Solanum lycopersicum: one gene and its partner. The protein of the gene in region 2 binds, or shares a complex with, the protein of the main gene of each other region. Links are inferred from orthologs where the notes say so. Each region holds a gene or a part of one and is shown on either strand. Other genes may lie near its edges.

The links. The genes of interacting proteins can lie anywhere in the genome.
Region 1: the proteins of hop-interacting protein THI044 (region 2) and plastid division protein PDV2 are in contact, whole or in part, in a crystal structure (PDB 5GTB), measured with the Arabidopsis thaliana proteins. The link is inferred for Solanum lycopersicum from reciprocal best matches to the Arabidopsis thaliana genes ARC6 and PDV2. Residues at the interface, in NP_199063.1 of Arabidopsis thaliana: Trp686, Gln687, Lys690, Phe694, Arg710, Met711, Ile714, Trp715, Arg718, Glu721, Thr722, Leu725, Leu727, Tyr729, Tyr731, Glu753, Leu756, Glu758, Ala760, Leu762, Asp764, Val766, His767, Asn770, Ala772, Thr773, Asp774, Arg776, Tyr778, Thr780; in NP_028242.1 of Arabidopsis thaliana: Glu287, Arg288, Val289, Glu290, Ile291, Pro292, Phe293, Asp294, Ala298, Lys299, Arg300, Asp301, Val302, Thr303, Tyr304, Gly305, Tyr306, Gly307.

What each region holds. Positions count from the first base shown.
Region 1 is NC_090800.1:92,336,715-92,344,906, forward strand, and holds plastid division protein PDV2, read right to left. Parts: upstream 5,558-8,192; 5' UTR 5,333-5,557; coding exon 5,111-5,332; intron 1,786-5,110; coding exon 1,171-1,785; 3' UTR 1,039-1,170; downstream 1-1,038. Other genes in the region: uncharacterized protein, read right to left, coding at 7,283-7,585, 7,679-7,807, 7,914-8,000, 8,083-8,142. UniProt on the Arabidopsis thaliana protein: Component of the plastid division machinery consisting in a binary fission accomplished by the simultaneous constriction of the FtsZ ring on the stromal side of the inner envelope membrane, and the ARC5/DRP5B ring on the cytosolic side of the outer envelope membrane.
Region 2 is NC_090803.1:66,997,154-67,005,453, forward strand, and holds hop-interacting protein THI044, read right to left. Parts: upstream 5,635-8,300; 5' UTR 5,605-5,634; coding exon 5,035-5,604; intron 4,221-5,034; coding exon 3,996-4,220; intron 3,566-3,995; coding exon 3,305-3,565; intron 3,217-3,304; coding exon 2,247-3,216; intron 1,961-2,246; coding exon 1,800-1,960; intron 1,406-1,799; coding exon 1,112-1,405; 3' UTR 914-1,111; downstream 1-913. Other genes in the region: kinesin-like protein KIN-7E, read left to right, coding at 60-372. UniProt on the Arabidopsis thaliana protein: Component of the plastid division machinery consisting in a binary fission accomplished by the simultaneous constriction of the FtsZ ring on the stromal side of the inner envelope membrane, and the ARC5 ring on the cytosolic side of the outer envelope membrane.

The DNA.
Region 1 (8,192 bases), on a different chromosome or scaffold from region 2:
AACTTTTCTTAATATTTAAAAAATTAAAAATTTATTTTAAAAATAATAGATAAGTAAAAGCGAAAAGACTAGTACCATTCATATTGAAATTGCAAAGGAGATTCCCAGAAAAAGAAGTACTCCTGGTTTTTATATAGGAAGTTCCCATTTCTTGCAAAATAGTACTGATTAAGCAGTTACCGCATGATGGGTACTAGAATTTGAAAGTTTAACTAATTTTGGGAATTGAAGTTCAATTAATAATGTATTGCTTTTACATAGCTTATTAATAGCTTCCAGCTTTGAGTGAAAGCGATTCCACACCAACATAAATTGCGATGGAGTGATAGAGTATGATTGCGATGGAGTGATAAATACTCTGTACTCCTTAACAAAATGTCTACACTTAAAAGTCCCTTGTATATATCCATGTGCATAAACTACAGTATAAATTGGCAATTGCAAAACAAGAAGGGCACAAGAAAGTGCAACAGCCAACAAAATGATCTTTCTTGGTTCTGTAGAAAAACAGGAAAAATAACAGTAAATCTTGTAATTTCAACTCAATAATTGGATATCATGTGCTTTTGTCTGTAGGAAGTTGCTGTGATATAATTGAAAAAAAGTCTTCAAATTTCAGGTGAGCCAAAACATGAATGTGCAACAATCCTGTCCCTTCATTTAATAAAACACCAACTTGTTTATTCAATCCATTCGTGCAGACATTATAGTAGTGAACTAAGTTGGCAAATCTACAGCAGATCTATCAAGGGACACACGCATCATACGAAAAGACAAAAACCTTAACTCACAACTCACTACCATGTATTTTCCCAGGTCACCAATTTTCTTAAATATTGTAGGATAACATAGCTCGCGAGTAGGATCCATTTTAAAATAAAGAAAAAACACATAACAAACTCATTTGACAATTGAAAAAGAAAATCATAATCGCACAAGTGGAGTCCAAAGAGGACAGAGTATATCCATGTAGTTTCAATAGACCCTCGACTCAAGTAAAGGATATCAAATCAGGTATACAGGGCACAATGAGAGAGATGGGAAATTTATTTTCTGACTGAACTTTTCTCTAGCTAAGACAAATTACATTGTCAGGCCACACAGAGTTAATAGAGTCAAAAACTTAAAGTGGGATTTACACAAAAAGAAGACAGAAAAAGGAACAACCTTTCATCCACAGCCATAATTTACATCTGGAGTAGCCACAACCGATTCAAATGGAATCTCAACTCTCTCTTTCACGACGCACTGAGTTTCACCATTTTCAACCACGGGGACTTTGCTGTTTGCCACCTGTTGAAACAAGTTCGAAACATTGATCTGATTATCCCGTTTCTTTATCTGAGGCTCGAACCCAGCCAAAGTCAAGACAGATATTACACCAACAACTGTGAGTGCTGTCTTAGCTGCTGCACTGAGGAAGAATTTAACCATTCTTAATGGGCTTTTAGGCTCAGATCTTTCATGGTTAGCGTCATCGACATCTTTCCTGGAATTGTGGTTGTGGCTACCAGTTACTCCATTTTGAGTGAGTTTCCGTGCAGATGGCAAGTGTACCCCATAACCCTTGTCTGACACCAGGGTACGAGAAGGTCTGCTAGGGTAAGGAGGAAGTAGAAGATCATTGTTGTCTTCAACTGTTTCAGAAACAAAAGCAATTGCCTCGTGTATGACTTGGTAATCTTTGCCTTCATACCCTTTCAGTGTCTGGAGCAATTTTTCTTGACTATAACCTATCTCAGCCAGCGCTGCTTCTTTTTCATACCATTGTTGTTCTTGTAGTGCCTGAAACATTAGAAATAAATGGCAATGAGGTATAAGCTTCAATAGAGGGGGACAACATAATTGAAATGCATAAATCTGAAAACAAAAGGAATGTCATAAAAGCCTTGTTGTATATTTCATGTAAAAACAGAGAGCAAGATAATAACAGCAACAGCTTCAGAGAATGAGGTCCATGATCTCAGGGCAGGTAATTGGGACAAGGATTTTCACTAAGTTGCCCAGAGATACTGTTTTCCGGAAGAGGCATAAGCAATTCAATCCTAAGGGAATAAGAATATACTTCAGCATTGGGATAATTGACTTTTGACAAGACGAAATCTAATTTACTCATAGATACTATTGGAAGAGTACCAAGCAAAAAAATACTGCTGATTTAGAATATTGGACTACAGTGTGTTTGAAACAAATTGGAAGACCATCTTTTTACATGTAAGTACCAACTTCATTTAAAGAATTTTCATGAAGATAGGCTAGTAGATGTTTGTCATGAAAATACTGCTGCTTTAGAATAGGGAGAACAGCCTTTCAGTTTTACTGTGACTAGTAATGAGTGACACTAGTCATTTACTAAATGCAAATGAATGTCTTTAACAGGAAAATAAATCCCATAAAGTTGACACATCGTTTTACTTGTAAAGACCAGAGGCACCTTGTCACTTTTCATGAAATGAAGATATCAAAACAAGTTCATCCGTTGAACAATGATTAATCTTGTTTCAGTATTAATTCTAAAGCTTATAAATGGCATTGCAATGACTGGAGCAGGATTGACTAACGTGATTACTGAATCAAAAGTTTAACCCTGCACTTAGAGATTACGGTGCAAAGTTTTCCCTCTGCAGGACATCACAACCAAGCACGCTCTACAGCCCCAAGCCCAATATGCCACATCCAAGAGATAATTTAAGCATAACAATCATTTAAATTAACATGAAGATTTTTCAAACAAACATCAAACTCTATGATGAAAGACAAATGATGACCCATTTAGGATGTGGCATTCTTATTCCGGAAACAAAATGTAATCCTTCTTGCAACATGATACAGTCACTTTCCAGTTGACTATACATAGTATCTGCAACAGACACTTAGCAACAGATCTTAGCTTGCACATTAGATAGGAACAACATCACTTGAAACACACGCCTCCACGACAAAGTGACATAGGAATTCCTGTCTGATTGATCAATATTTTGCCGACACATTACACTCAGAAGCTACTTAATTAAACCTTGGATAATAATCTTTCAGCAATTTAAAAGTAACATGAAAAGAACATTTGTAATGAGAAATATCACAGCTGGAACTCTTGTTAAGTAGTTGGGGAAAACTTTTCAAAACACTCGATCAATTTTCAGCTGTGTCAAATGGATTATGGGGTTTCACACTGAGATTTCCATTTCTCTTATTAGAATAGCATGATTGGTCTCGTTTATGAAACGACGTCTAAAATCAGGTATCTATGTGACCTACAAAGAGACTGCTAGCGCTAGGAATCAGCATTCACATCATTGATGGAATCAATTTAAAGCAGTCAACAATTTTAGGGGAAGGTCGTTCAGGTAAGTTATATTTCAGGGGATTAGTGAGTAGTAAAAAGTAGCACCTCAGAATCTTTAGCTTCAAAGAGAGATGAGAAAATCACAATATAAGTAATAATATCCAGGTTCACTTGCACTACATAGGCAAAGGTTCTATTCCCATCCAAAGCTACATTCTCCTACCCCTTTACCCTCTCCTCTGTATGCCCTTCATCGCTTGTATACGGAAGTAATCAAAGACAAAAGATTTGTCACTCAAATCTCAACTGGATTGCTTTTAAGGGTGCTAAGAACGTTATCCAAATTATTTTCCACAAAAAGAAGAAGAAGAATTTAATCCAAATTAAGGTTGGTCAGGATTTGAGCTCCGATTTGTCTTGCAATATACAGACATAGTCAGACACTTCATTTCACAAAAAAGTAGATTCAAAGACTACCATTTAACATTTGACCACGGTCCTTGAACTCAAAGTTGCATACAGTAGTCAATAGTCTGCTCAGGTAACAACGTAAACATCTTTACTCTCATCTAAACCTCATGTAAACTTTAAACCCCCTAAGTCCCACTTATCTCACTCAAGAATTTGAAAACGGCTGGTTCCACTTAACTTGACAACATTTAAAATGACTTCATGGTACATGGAGTAGATGTATATACATTATGGACACAACAAAGTTCACAAAATGTACGAACACACCCTAACAGTAGTAAATAACAGTAACGTGCAAGTTGCAACAACATTTAAGCCCCAAGGCTTTGGTCTAGTGGTAAGAGTGCAGTCATAATGTGGGCTGGATTTAGGCGCACATCACGGTTCAAATTCTGCTATTGTGCCAGAAATAAGAACTCTAATACTTGATTGGGAAAGGGTAGAGGCACGGGCCCATCATTTACGGAGTTTTGAACCAGGATTTCTCAGTCATCAGCATGAATGTATATGGTAATGTGCAACAGCTTTAGAGATCAGATATATAACTGAATGTCAAATCCTGAAAATTCTACACATTTCATTGAAACTGAAGAATGCACATGATAGTTTATCGAAACAGAGAGCTTTTCATCCATTCCAGTCAAGAAGACTTTTATTCACTTTGTGAACAAATCTAAACTGCGTTAAATCCATCTAATTCACCATTACACATTTGCTTAATCTCACCGAAGAAAATTCAATACAGATATCCAAATGCAGGTTTCCATCCAGAAAAAATAACAGAAGGTTAACCATCAAATTTGTATCCCAACTTCAACTCTAAAAACTTTAAACATATTTCTCCCTAACGCGCAATAAAAGCATCAACAAGAGAACAACATAACCACTCATCACACAGAGGAAAAATTCCTAAAGCAAATATGTTCATAGCACAATAGGTATACCAGACTACAGAGCTCAGTTGGTTGGCTTACATCTTGTTGGTGAGGGTTCGATTCCCCGCATTGTAATCCCCTCCCATTTCCCCTTCCCTACCGCCAATATTGAAAAAAAGAGACTACAGAAACCCCATCAAAAAAGTCGATGCAAGTAAGTTAAGAAAATCAAACAAAGCTTCTAGCAACTACTCATTAAGGTTAAACCCTAGATTAGGCGCCGCCTTTCTTATCAAATCAAGAAAAGTAAAAATTTTGTAAAATTCTGTAGCATATAGAAAACAACTACAACCCCTCAATCTCAAACTAATTAGAGTCAGTCAGCAATACATAAAATCTTCTAAAATCACACATTTACCCAAAAAGGGGAAAAATTCCAAGTTTCAAAATTGAAGTAGAACAAGTATCAAGAAGAGACCTGCAAAGAAGACACTTGGGCTTCAAGTGATTCAAGAGCATCCTTAATCTTCAACAAGCAATCCACTGCTTCATCATCACCCTCATGGGTTTTCTCATCTGGGTCTTCTCCATTTCCAGATTCCACTTCATCTTTCTTAGATGCTTTGTGAATACAATTCGTTATCTCTACCCTCAGTTCAGAGATTCTAGCCAGCACTAACCCTATTCTATCTTCATCCATAACTTAAAGATTCTTGATTTCTGGATACTGCAAATTGAAAATCTTGAATTTTGCGCAAATGGGGTTTCTGTAATGAGGACAAAGAAGTGGCAAGAAAGTGACAAAAGAAAAAAGAAGCAGCGAAATACAAGTGATTGTGGTGCTTTCTTGAAACTAAAGAGATGACATTAGAGCTTCTTCTTTTTTTTCTTTTTTTCCCTATATAAACCCTTTTAACAAAACAAATTTCTAATTGTTGGTTTTGTCCTTTTACTCGAAACTTAGGGCCCGTTTGGACATAATTTTTTCAAATAATATTTGGAAAAAATTTGGTAAATAATGTTTGTCCATATAATTTGTCATTATTTGGTAAATATTTTTGGCAAATATCCCAAATTTCCAAATACTAGTTTTTTCTAGTATTTGGGCCAAATATTATTATTTGGGATATTTTAAAAATTAAAATTTTACCCCAATCTTTTATCTTTTACAAAAACACTCTCTCTAGTATTTGCTTGCGTTGTATTACATCATTTTTTACGTGAACACCAAAATAGTGATGAAATATTTAGTGAATATTAAATAATGATATGATTGTTGATGAAAATTATTAAAAATTGGCTTTAGGTAACAAAGTCATGTACTTTATCTACTTCACGATGTATGGAATAATTCTTGTTGCACTCACTCCAAATTACCACATTGCTTCAGTGTCATAGACATTATTTGTTATTGTTGTAACTAACATTCAATTGACTTGTAATACAAACTTTTAGTTAGTTTTGATAGTTTTTAAAACTTGTGTGTATAAATCATATTTTTCTAAAAAGGTGAAATATATTTCCCAAATTTCATGGCCAAACACATGGTGAAATTTCACCCAAATTTTCACTCAAATAATATTTGCCAAGAATATTTGGAAATCTATGACCAAACGCTAGCTAATATATCTCCAACAAACCTTTGATTTTCGAAAATTATTTTTGTGGTCCTAAATCACTGTTGCTATTTGTTTGGGGTTATAATTAATGAAAATAATGATAATACTTGAAGCTTGTTACTTCAACTTTATTAGTTTTATTTTTCATTAACTATTTGTTTAGCCTCAAAATGTTTATGAGGTCACACAAAAAATCAACTAATTTAAATTATATTTAATTTTTTGAAAATGTGGATGTATGGAAGGTAATGTAATAATTAATTTTTGGGGTGCGAGCAGGTTCAAGACCTAGTTTAATATGATATCGTGGGCTTTATCCCAGGAGTGAGGAGGAGGTTCTGGAGCTGATCTCAATTGGTCTAACAAGTCCTTGGTTCGACTAACTATTGACTGGTTCAATAATTGACTATAGTTCTTTCTGCATTTGCCACGTATCTGGTTAAATAGTCTTTAATATATTTCAACCAATATATGAAAGGAGTCTCTGATCAGATTTAATTGTCTTCACTCACCTCTCGGCAAGTTATCCTTCATATTTTTTCACATTTAACTGAGACTTCTTAAATCTGAAAGGATTATAGTTAAAAGATAATACAAACACCAAATAATTTAAATATAAAAGAAATAATAGTTAAAAGATAATAAAAACACCTAATAATTTAAATATAAAACTCACTAATTAAATTTAACCTATTCACTCCTTTATAATATACAACACCACTTATTTATAGTTCCCAACTGCCTTTAGGCTTTTGCATACAATTCTTCTGCTTAGAGCTACAATAACCAATGAAAAACTCTCAACAAGAAGGAAAAATAGAAAAACAAGAGAATAAATGAGGTTTTGGACCATCCAAATTATTACAAACTCACTTATGAAAATGAGGGGAGACTCATTAGTCATTAGGAATGACAGTTGAATCACAACTATAGCACTTCTGTTAAACAACAAGTTCAAATATTTCACACTTCTCAATCTGAATAGCCCCTTTGATTGTGATTCATCTGACATTCAAAACTCTTGAGTTTGATCACTCAACCAATTCACTTGAAACAAGGTATCTGAAACTGAAGTTGTGAGGAATCCAATCAATTTTCTTCCACAACTTTCGTTGCTCGGGCTGCTGAAATTTCTTCCTCAAATAACAAGGTAATGCCAGCTCTATAGTTTCGAACAAACCAGATGGACTCACATTCACTTCTTTAACATAAGATTCCACATTCTTTGGAAGGACTAGTTTTTGTTCTTTGTGTACCCTTATGTTTGCCTGAATGTAATCATCTTTAGCCACTTCTAGTTCTTCGAATACTCTCTTCGATGTGTACAAACGAAGCTGCATATGTACAAGATATCATATGTTCTAAGCAAAACAGGAAAAAAAGATAGTTTGAACGAAATGACAGTAATGCTTTTGTCAGTGCATTACCACAGGATCAGAATGATTTCCTGAGCAAAGAGCAAAGCGTAGGCGAGGATCTGGATGCTCCATTGCATATCCTCTTCTTGCATCGCCACCCTTAAATCTTTGTTTCGTAAAGAACAATGACTGAAGCCACTATTTTGTACAGGAAAAATCGATACATATTACTTCAAGGAGGAAATGTAGTAACATGAGCTCTCTCAAAGTACTGCAGAAACAGAAATTGAATATAGTAACTTACCTGACCGGGACGAGGCAACTGGCATTGTAGTATAGAATTCTGGATCATGTCCACACTTACTGTATTCCCTCCAATATTGTAAGCTGACTGAAAAATGAAAAAAGCTTACTGAGTTATAAAGAACCAATTACACAGTAAAAACTGTTGCATTTTAGCAGAATTTTCTTACCTTAAGAAGTAAAGATGCTCTCTTGAGATTACTTCTTGGAATCCCATGAACCAAAAATGCCTGTAACATACACGATGCTGGTTCATAATTTATCGCATAGTAAAAAAGGT
Region 2 (8,300 bases):
AATCAATCTGAAAGTATGATAAAAATTGATCCTAAAAGTACTCTAATCCTTTCAAACAGTTTAAATGCTCTGAATCGCGAGAGGGAAATGCTGAGCAAGTTGCTTCATAAGAAGTTTTCTTCAAAGGAGAGAGACAGCTTATACGAGAAACGGGGCATTGGTCTTAAAACTAAAAAAAGAAGACATCAACTGTGCCATCAGTTATGGAAAGATACGAGAGACATGGATCACATTAAGGAAAGTGCAGCACTCATCTCAAAATTAGTTGGATTCGAAGCACAAAACGAAGTCCCAAAAGAGATGTTTGAACTCAACTTCTCACCAGGGCCAAAAAATCTCAGGTCTTTCAGCTGGAAGCCAAGAAAAGCCTAATGTGATCTTCTAATGCAAAAGATTTAAGGATTATTTGAAGCATTGTAGTGGCTTCAAAATGAATTAACCCTCCCTAATTCATGTAAAGTTTAGAAGTTAAACCACCCCCATAGTATCTAAATATACACAAAAGATGTCCCATACTTGTACTTAATACACCTTCTCCCTACTCATCGACGAGCTTTTATTAATGTACATTATGTATATTCAATCCTCAACCTCGAGATCTCAAGTTAAGAGAGTCATCCCTGTATGTAGATATAAGTGGAAGATATATTGCAGCTTATATGTATGTAAAACAAGACTCAAAATCATTGGGACAGCATAGGATAATTGTCTTCAAAAGGCATCATATTTTGCAGTTTTTTTTGTTCTGGTTGGAATATAAACCCACATCACCTTCTTTTCCTTCTCCTTATCTGTTTGGTTTTTCCTGGGATACTTGTCAATACAATTAAGCCAACTAGTTCACAATATATGTACAAAAAAGACCAAAATATAAGTATATAAAACCTATATATTGCATACTCAGCGCGAATTAGGCAACGATAACCTCTGTTTCATTATAGCATTTAACTCGAGATGAATCCTGATCATTTTTTTCGACTACACTCAATTCTTTGATCCAAACAAGGTACATTACAATTAGCTGAAACAAACCATTTACCTAACTTTGAAAGTAAAGCAAACTAATCAAAAAGATGCACTTTACATGAAACTTTGTCAACATATACATCCATTATCGCGATTTAAGAACGGCTCCTTCCACAATTTTCCAACCGGAGTTTGCCCAGGACATGTCGTACCTTGTTGTATAGGTAGTACTGTATGAGTCATTGTGCTCTGGATGGGCTACATCAGTTAAACTTGCTGATTCCTCTAGAGTAGCTTCCACAGTAGCACGTCGGCCATCAGCTGAGACAGTTACACTATCAATGGCAAGGTTTAAAAGCTTGTACTCCCAAAACCAACCATGCTGCGCAATTTCTCTTGCACGGTCTGTCCAAATCTTCAGCATCTGACCATCCAAAACCTGTCATTTTGAACAATGTCGTCAGGCAAAATACAAAGGTGACACCAGAAATAGCAAGGAGGTGTATTAAGCTGCATTTGGACAACAGCAAACAACAAAAAAGATGCTGGGTAGTTCATCACGAAGCAACTCGTGTTGAGCAGCTGAATTCTACAAGAAATCATTTGGCTCTAACAAAAAGTTGGTGTGTATGACATTTTGCTGTAAAGATATTATCATAACATTGTATAGAAATTGAGATAGAGCAGCTAACACACAATCCTACCTCTTGCTTTGGCAGGAAGTAAAATCCATTAAGAATTATCTCAAGGCTTTCAGGTTCTATTGCATTTCACGTCATACTATAGTGAAACATAATCAACAATATAAAAAGAAAGGCATTACATATTGATACCTCTGACAATCTGTTGAGACAGTGATCGGTTCCAAGAGACTGGGATTTGATATTCTGCCACTTCCGAACTATACTTTCTGCAAGTCTTGCATCCATTCTAGGAACCTCAAGAGGATTTTCAACTGGTGAGGCAGAGGTATCTGCAGTAGCAGATAAAATTTCTGATATTCAGAAGAAAGGGAAGGTTGGAAAAAGAAAACATAACTGAAACCCTCAGACAAGAATTTAAAAGAACCCCAGACTTGAGAAAATATAATAACAATAATAGAAGAAGATAATTTTTATTAGATAGATGTACAACTACCACTTGTAACAATAAGATTTTTTCTCTCAAATCCAGGTCGTTGAATGAAGCAGCAGAGAAAAGCAAAAGAGAATGGCTCCATAAGGTCATATTTGGTCAACCCCGAGAGTTATTTAGAAACTAAAATGGTCAGTGAGTCATACCCACATTGATAACATCCGAGGCAATGGCTGAACCAGTAGCACTAGCACTATGTTGAACTGAAGACCCATGTCTAAAGGAAGAAAGCTTCAATCCAACCAAAGTCAAGAAACCAACCGCTACTCCAGCACACATAATCTTCACACTTGCATCTTTTATTCTGTCAGTTATCACATCTTGCTCTTGATAGTTAGAACTCTTTCTCTCAGGATCCCCAACAGTCGTAATAAAGTTATTTTGATCACGGAGTTCTTCAAGATCCTCAAATGGCTTAGCAATATCAAATTCGTTCATCTCATTGTCACCATATCGTCTTACACTGCCTTCCCCGTCACCAGCAGGAAAAACTTTCTGTAGTGCCTGAATTGCACTAGCCTTAACACTATCAAGCACAGCTGTAGCTTCAGCTCCAATCCTTGCAATAGCTGCAGCAGCAGCTAAAGGTGAAGCACCACCACCTTCCAGCCTTTCCAAATATCTTAAAACAGTAGGGTCATCATAATAGTCACCAAGCTTAAAAGTGACATCTTCTGTCTCTCTAAATCTGGGAAAGACCACTTCCATCAACCAGGTCTCCAAAAGCTTACATAGTCCAGGGAGCAGATCATTTTCGTTGTCGTCCTTTGAGTGTTCTGCAACAAAAGTCACTATAGATGGATCTCTATAAGGGGAGTCCTCACTGTCTAGGCCCAACCAAGAGCGACATCCATCGACTTCTCCAACAAGCAGTGAACAAAGGCCCCTCTCCAAAGCAAAGTCTATTTCACGGTTTTCTCTAACAGTGTATACAGACACAGAACTGCCGTAAGCTGTAACTTTGGTCTGCTGAAGCTGCTGAAAAAGGTTATCAGCATCTTGAATGAGATGAGGTTTTTTTCCAACAAAAGCTTGAGCAACAAGTGCAAGCGCCACCCCGTAAACTTCAAAGCTTTCTGCAGGAATGTTACTTGGCGTTGCGACGAAGAGGTCCACCTTTTAAAAAGGAAGAGGAAAATGAAGAGAAGGAGTAAAAAGAACAGTTACAAAAGAAACCAAAATAAATGAATGAAGTTAAGCCAACCTGCTCAGCAGCTGTCATCCGTAGGAAGGCCTCATTCATGAAATCTTCTCGTGTGAACCCCCCTGAAATTGCAGCTGCTCCTCCTCCTCCAACAGCCCACAAAATGTTGCGCACGCCTTGAAGAGCCTCTACTCTTTTCATTCGGTATTCATCACCAAGAGGAAAAGCTAGAAGTTCAAGTACGTAGCGTGGATTTATCTCTTCTAATGTCTCATCTATCTGGGATTGCAGATCAAGGGCAAGATTACTTGCACCTTCTTCCTGGAAAAGGAAGGAAGAAAGTTCCTCATTATTTGCTCTTCACTGTAAGCTTACAATTCGACCCAAAAAAGGCATGCATCAGCATTAAAGCAGGCGAGAGGTAAAGAAAAAGTGCAGTCACATATACCCCACACACATACATTACCAAAAACAAACAAACAGAGACGTCTTAAGTGAATCATGGATGACCAAGAAGAGCACTATACTCATTTATAGGTAAATCAAAATGAAGTTAGCAATCAGTACAATGATACAAACCCTCTTCCATTATTAAAGTCATTTGTCAACAGACATTTGCAGCTGGCAAAAAGCTGTGTCATAGTGCATAAACTATAGAAAACAGTTATTTCCATGTGTGTTCCCTTTATAGAATTTCAAATATACCATCACATTCACTCTAACATACTCATATCATCAGAAGTAACTATACCTGCAACAGCTTAAGTGCTCTTTCAAGCAGTTCACAACCTTGAACAAAATCAGGAGGCGAAAGTGCCATCGCATCTCGCGAATGGTCAACATATGCGAGTGCCATAGCTAAGACCACATCTTGCTTGAATGACTTTGGCAACCGCTCTTTCAGCAAGCTTTCCCCAATCTGAAGAACTACTCCAGTCTCACCAGCTTCTTGCAAAACACACAATGCTCCCGGAACCTGTAAAAGCCATGACATTCTTTTAAATTCTTTGCATCCCACAACAACTTTTAGAATATTTAAGTTTTATAACCAACCCGGGTACAAATTTTACTACACTATCAGTTAGTTATGTATTGAGAACTAAGTAAGTGTAGACTGGTAATCTGGAAAATAGGTAGGTGACATGCTACAACGGGTTAAATTACACTGGTCATGTACAAAACCTTTTCTTTAATTTGCATAACTTAAACAATTACCTTTATCAATAGTAAGCGTGGTCTGGTAATCTAGAAAATAAGGTAAGCAACAAGCAACAACTCATTGAACTACATTGATCATGTTGTTCTCACTATATAAAATCTTATCTTATAACCGCGGAATAGTTTTGGCCCAATCCTTAGGAACAACCGCAGCCTTCAAAACTCAGGAAAAAGGGCCCGTCCTTCTATCCTTCTCCGCTTAAATACTAGGCTTAGTTTGCATAGCCAGAACCTATGACCCAAATTACAAGTCCTTCAACCTTGGCGACTTGAACTAAGCCTAGATGCACTTAAAACTACAAACTTCTACAATTTTATTCACTGCTACTTGCAATTGGTAATTTGTAAAATATGATAAGCAACATGCTACAATTATTAGCTAAATTATACAGATAGTATATAATTGAAAAAAGGCATCTAAGATCAACCTGACTTACTTGGGGAGCATAAGTTAATACAGATAAACTTAATTCCAAGTTTCAAACTCCCTATAGCACTTTTCAATTAGCTAAAAAATTATTCAATTAAGAATGTGGGCAGTAAATAAAAAAGTGGAGTAATTGAAATAGTACTTTATCCCAGGGGACCGGAGTTAGAATAGTATCGAACTCATGCTGAGCGAGGCCTTGATTGTATTCTCTACGAGAGGTAGAGTCAGCAAGGGTTTCACAAGCAGCTTGAAGAATCTGTCGTCGGCCAATCAATGCCTCTTGACTGTACCCGTACTGCGGCGGCTTAGTAATTCTAGCATCGTAGCATCTCCTGATACCATCACCGAGGAAGTGAGCTTCAGCACCAAGCACTCTATAAAAGTCTATAGGCATTAAAATGTGGCGGTCTGAAGGAGCAACGGGAGGAGGAATAGTCGTAACAGAGGTTGTAGAAGTTGAATTCTGGAAATCCGATGAGTCGGAGGTGGTGGTGGGGGAAGGAAGGAATTGGAAATCGGCGAGAAGACGATCCGCCCATTTACTGGCGGAGAAGTTCGTCGGTACACTACTTGTTCCACCGGTAACACTACTGGCTCCTCCGGTAACAGCATTGAGTCTCGGCGGCTTCTTACCGGCGCCGCCTGCTAGTTGAAATGGTGGTGAAAGGCGTGCAGTACAAATGCCAAAGCTTAGGTGTGTTAATGCCTCCATTGTTAAGGAAGCTTCAAAATGTGCTCATAATTCATTGTTTTTAACTCTTTCAGATATTTTTTGTTCACTCGTAAAGCAATTGGGCCGACTCTTTCATATGGGCTAAAATTTCTTGTTGGGCTTCGAAACTGAATCTTATGGATGGATAAGTGGATAGGCCCGTTTCATTTGAATGATTAGATGGATCCAATTGCACGGTTTGCTATTTGAATGAACTTATCGTAGTCATCGGATATTATGATGTAAAAATATAAATGTAGATTCCGTAAAAAAGTTACTTTCTCCGTTTCATTTTATGTGCCACTTTCGCATTTCGAGATTCAAACAAGTCTATCGTTGACCATAAGTTTTTCATAGACCTTTTTAACATTTTGAATTATCAATTATTATGACTTATAGTACTCTTTACGTAGTTTAATAAATATATAAATTTTATTTTTAAAAAATTTGAAAATTTCATACGCAAATGTCCGATCAAAGTTAAACTATTTAATTCTCGAAAAACGAAAAGTGTCACATAAAATGGGACGGATTGAGTATTTATTTTGAGGGCTAAGAATTAAAGACCAACACAAAATAAGGATAAAACTGCAAAAGACATATTTTATATGAACCTCTAAATTAAAGGGGTTTTTTACGAGTGAAATTGGACGGAATCGTGGTTCAAATGTAAAGGAAAATATTTTATGAAAAATCAGTTTCGTGGTGAAAAATATTTGTGACGCATATAACAACTATATTATATGAAAATAAAACACGATGATAGTGTTTTGATGATCGTAAAATTGTTGTATTTGTAAAGAAAAAAAACAAAGAAGTAGAGCTTTAGAAGTTACTTGCAATGTTTAAGCTGACCACTTCTAAAGTATTTGACAAACACAAAAAACCAGATTGACATGGAACATATCGCCATTGACAAAACATGAAGACAACTTCAATCTCACATTCTGCAAGTACAACAATAAAAACGACAACCTTAAATTCATTACATTAAGGGATCGGAATCAAAATCTCTCCGTACTTTTTATTATTATCATATTATATCGAACCAAATTAAACCATATATCGAATCCGAATAAGTTCGAATATTGCAACAAATTCATTGCTAATCCGTCCTAATAATTAGTGGGTGGTCCCATTAACACCACTAAGTATTTATTTTTGTCATAGTTGACATTTATAGTCATTTGATTGACTCAAAGCATGCAACTTTTATAATTAACAACATCTTAATCATGGTCTCTAATCTTATTTACAATGTGTCTTATCTTTCTTTATTTTTTTTTTCTTGAATACATCATTAAAATAGAGACTATTATTTCACCATTCCACCTAATTATATAAGTAATACCATCTAAATATAATCATTTGGTTACGTGAGGAGTAATAGATTATTACTTTAATTAGTATTAATAGCGAAATCAGAAATTTTAATAAGAGAATTCAAAAGTTAACATTCTACAAATAAGTTATTGATTCAAGGAGTATTACAGATTTAGTTAGTCTTCTTTCTTCGTGTATTAGTAATACGTGAATTATAATTTCACGTCTCATTTTTTATGAGATAGCATGCGACCTTCATATATAAATGATACGAGCGTATATTTTATACCTATCTTTTGTGATAAGGGATTATTTTTGGTAGTGTGGCAAACCAAGAGACCCCATATAGACTAGAGATAACGAGAAATGTTACTATTATTAGGATGTTTAGTTTGTTAGAAATGGTTAACTATTTTTGGAGTGACATATATAATATCATTGTATATCTTTTGTAGTAGCAACTACATCTATGTATACTACTTAATTCACCCCCCTATCTACCTAAAACCAACTCAACATATACCATATTTCAACCATAAGAGTTTGAGTAGTGGGTGATAGTGAATAGTGGTCCAAAGAATATTGTTCATTGCATTCAACTTCCTCACATCTTAAAAGTGATATATGGAGTTGAAAGAGGCAATGGCAATGGAACAAGTGGACACACTACCTTCGACTATCGTGATGAAATGAATAGAATTTCTCCGGTTCTTAACAAAAAGTCTTGAATTCAAACTTTTCAGGCTGGTATTTTTAAAAAAATCTAGTAGTGAGGAGCAAACTGCACGGATACTTGATTTTGACGTTGTTGTTTGACATTTGCTCATTTTTTAAAAATGTATACACGCTTCGAAACAATTTCAAATATAGTCAGTTTGACAAAAATCTTAAACTTCAAATACAATTTTTATAGTTTTATTTGACTGAAGTTTAAAAACATATGACATTATCAAAATAGACTTTCCCGTGAATTTTTTTACGGTTGAAAGCTATTATTTCTCTTATTCTGTTTGAAGTTTCATATAAATGAAGTCCAAACACACATTGACGACGTCCTATTTGACTCTCTCGTGATATTTTTTTTTATCGTATAGTGCTGGTGTTTGTCCTAATAATTCAATACGACATGAGTCGATATTAAACGAGACAGTAACTTAGATATTAGATATTGAATATCGATTAGGAAAGATAAATTTAAAAAGTGCAATTGGACACGAAATTAAGTGGCCCCCCAATTGATGACATTGATTGCAAAAAATGAAAAGAAAAATGGCTTTATTTATTAATCAATCTAAACTTTAAAGAACATATATAATGAAGATATCAGGCTAAAGGAGTGAACATCGGCTTTTAATGTTATGTACATTATATTA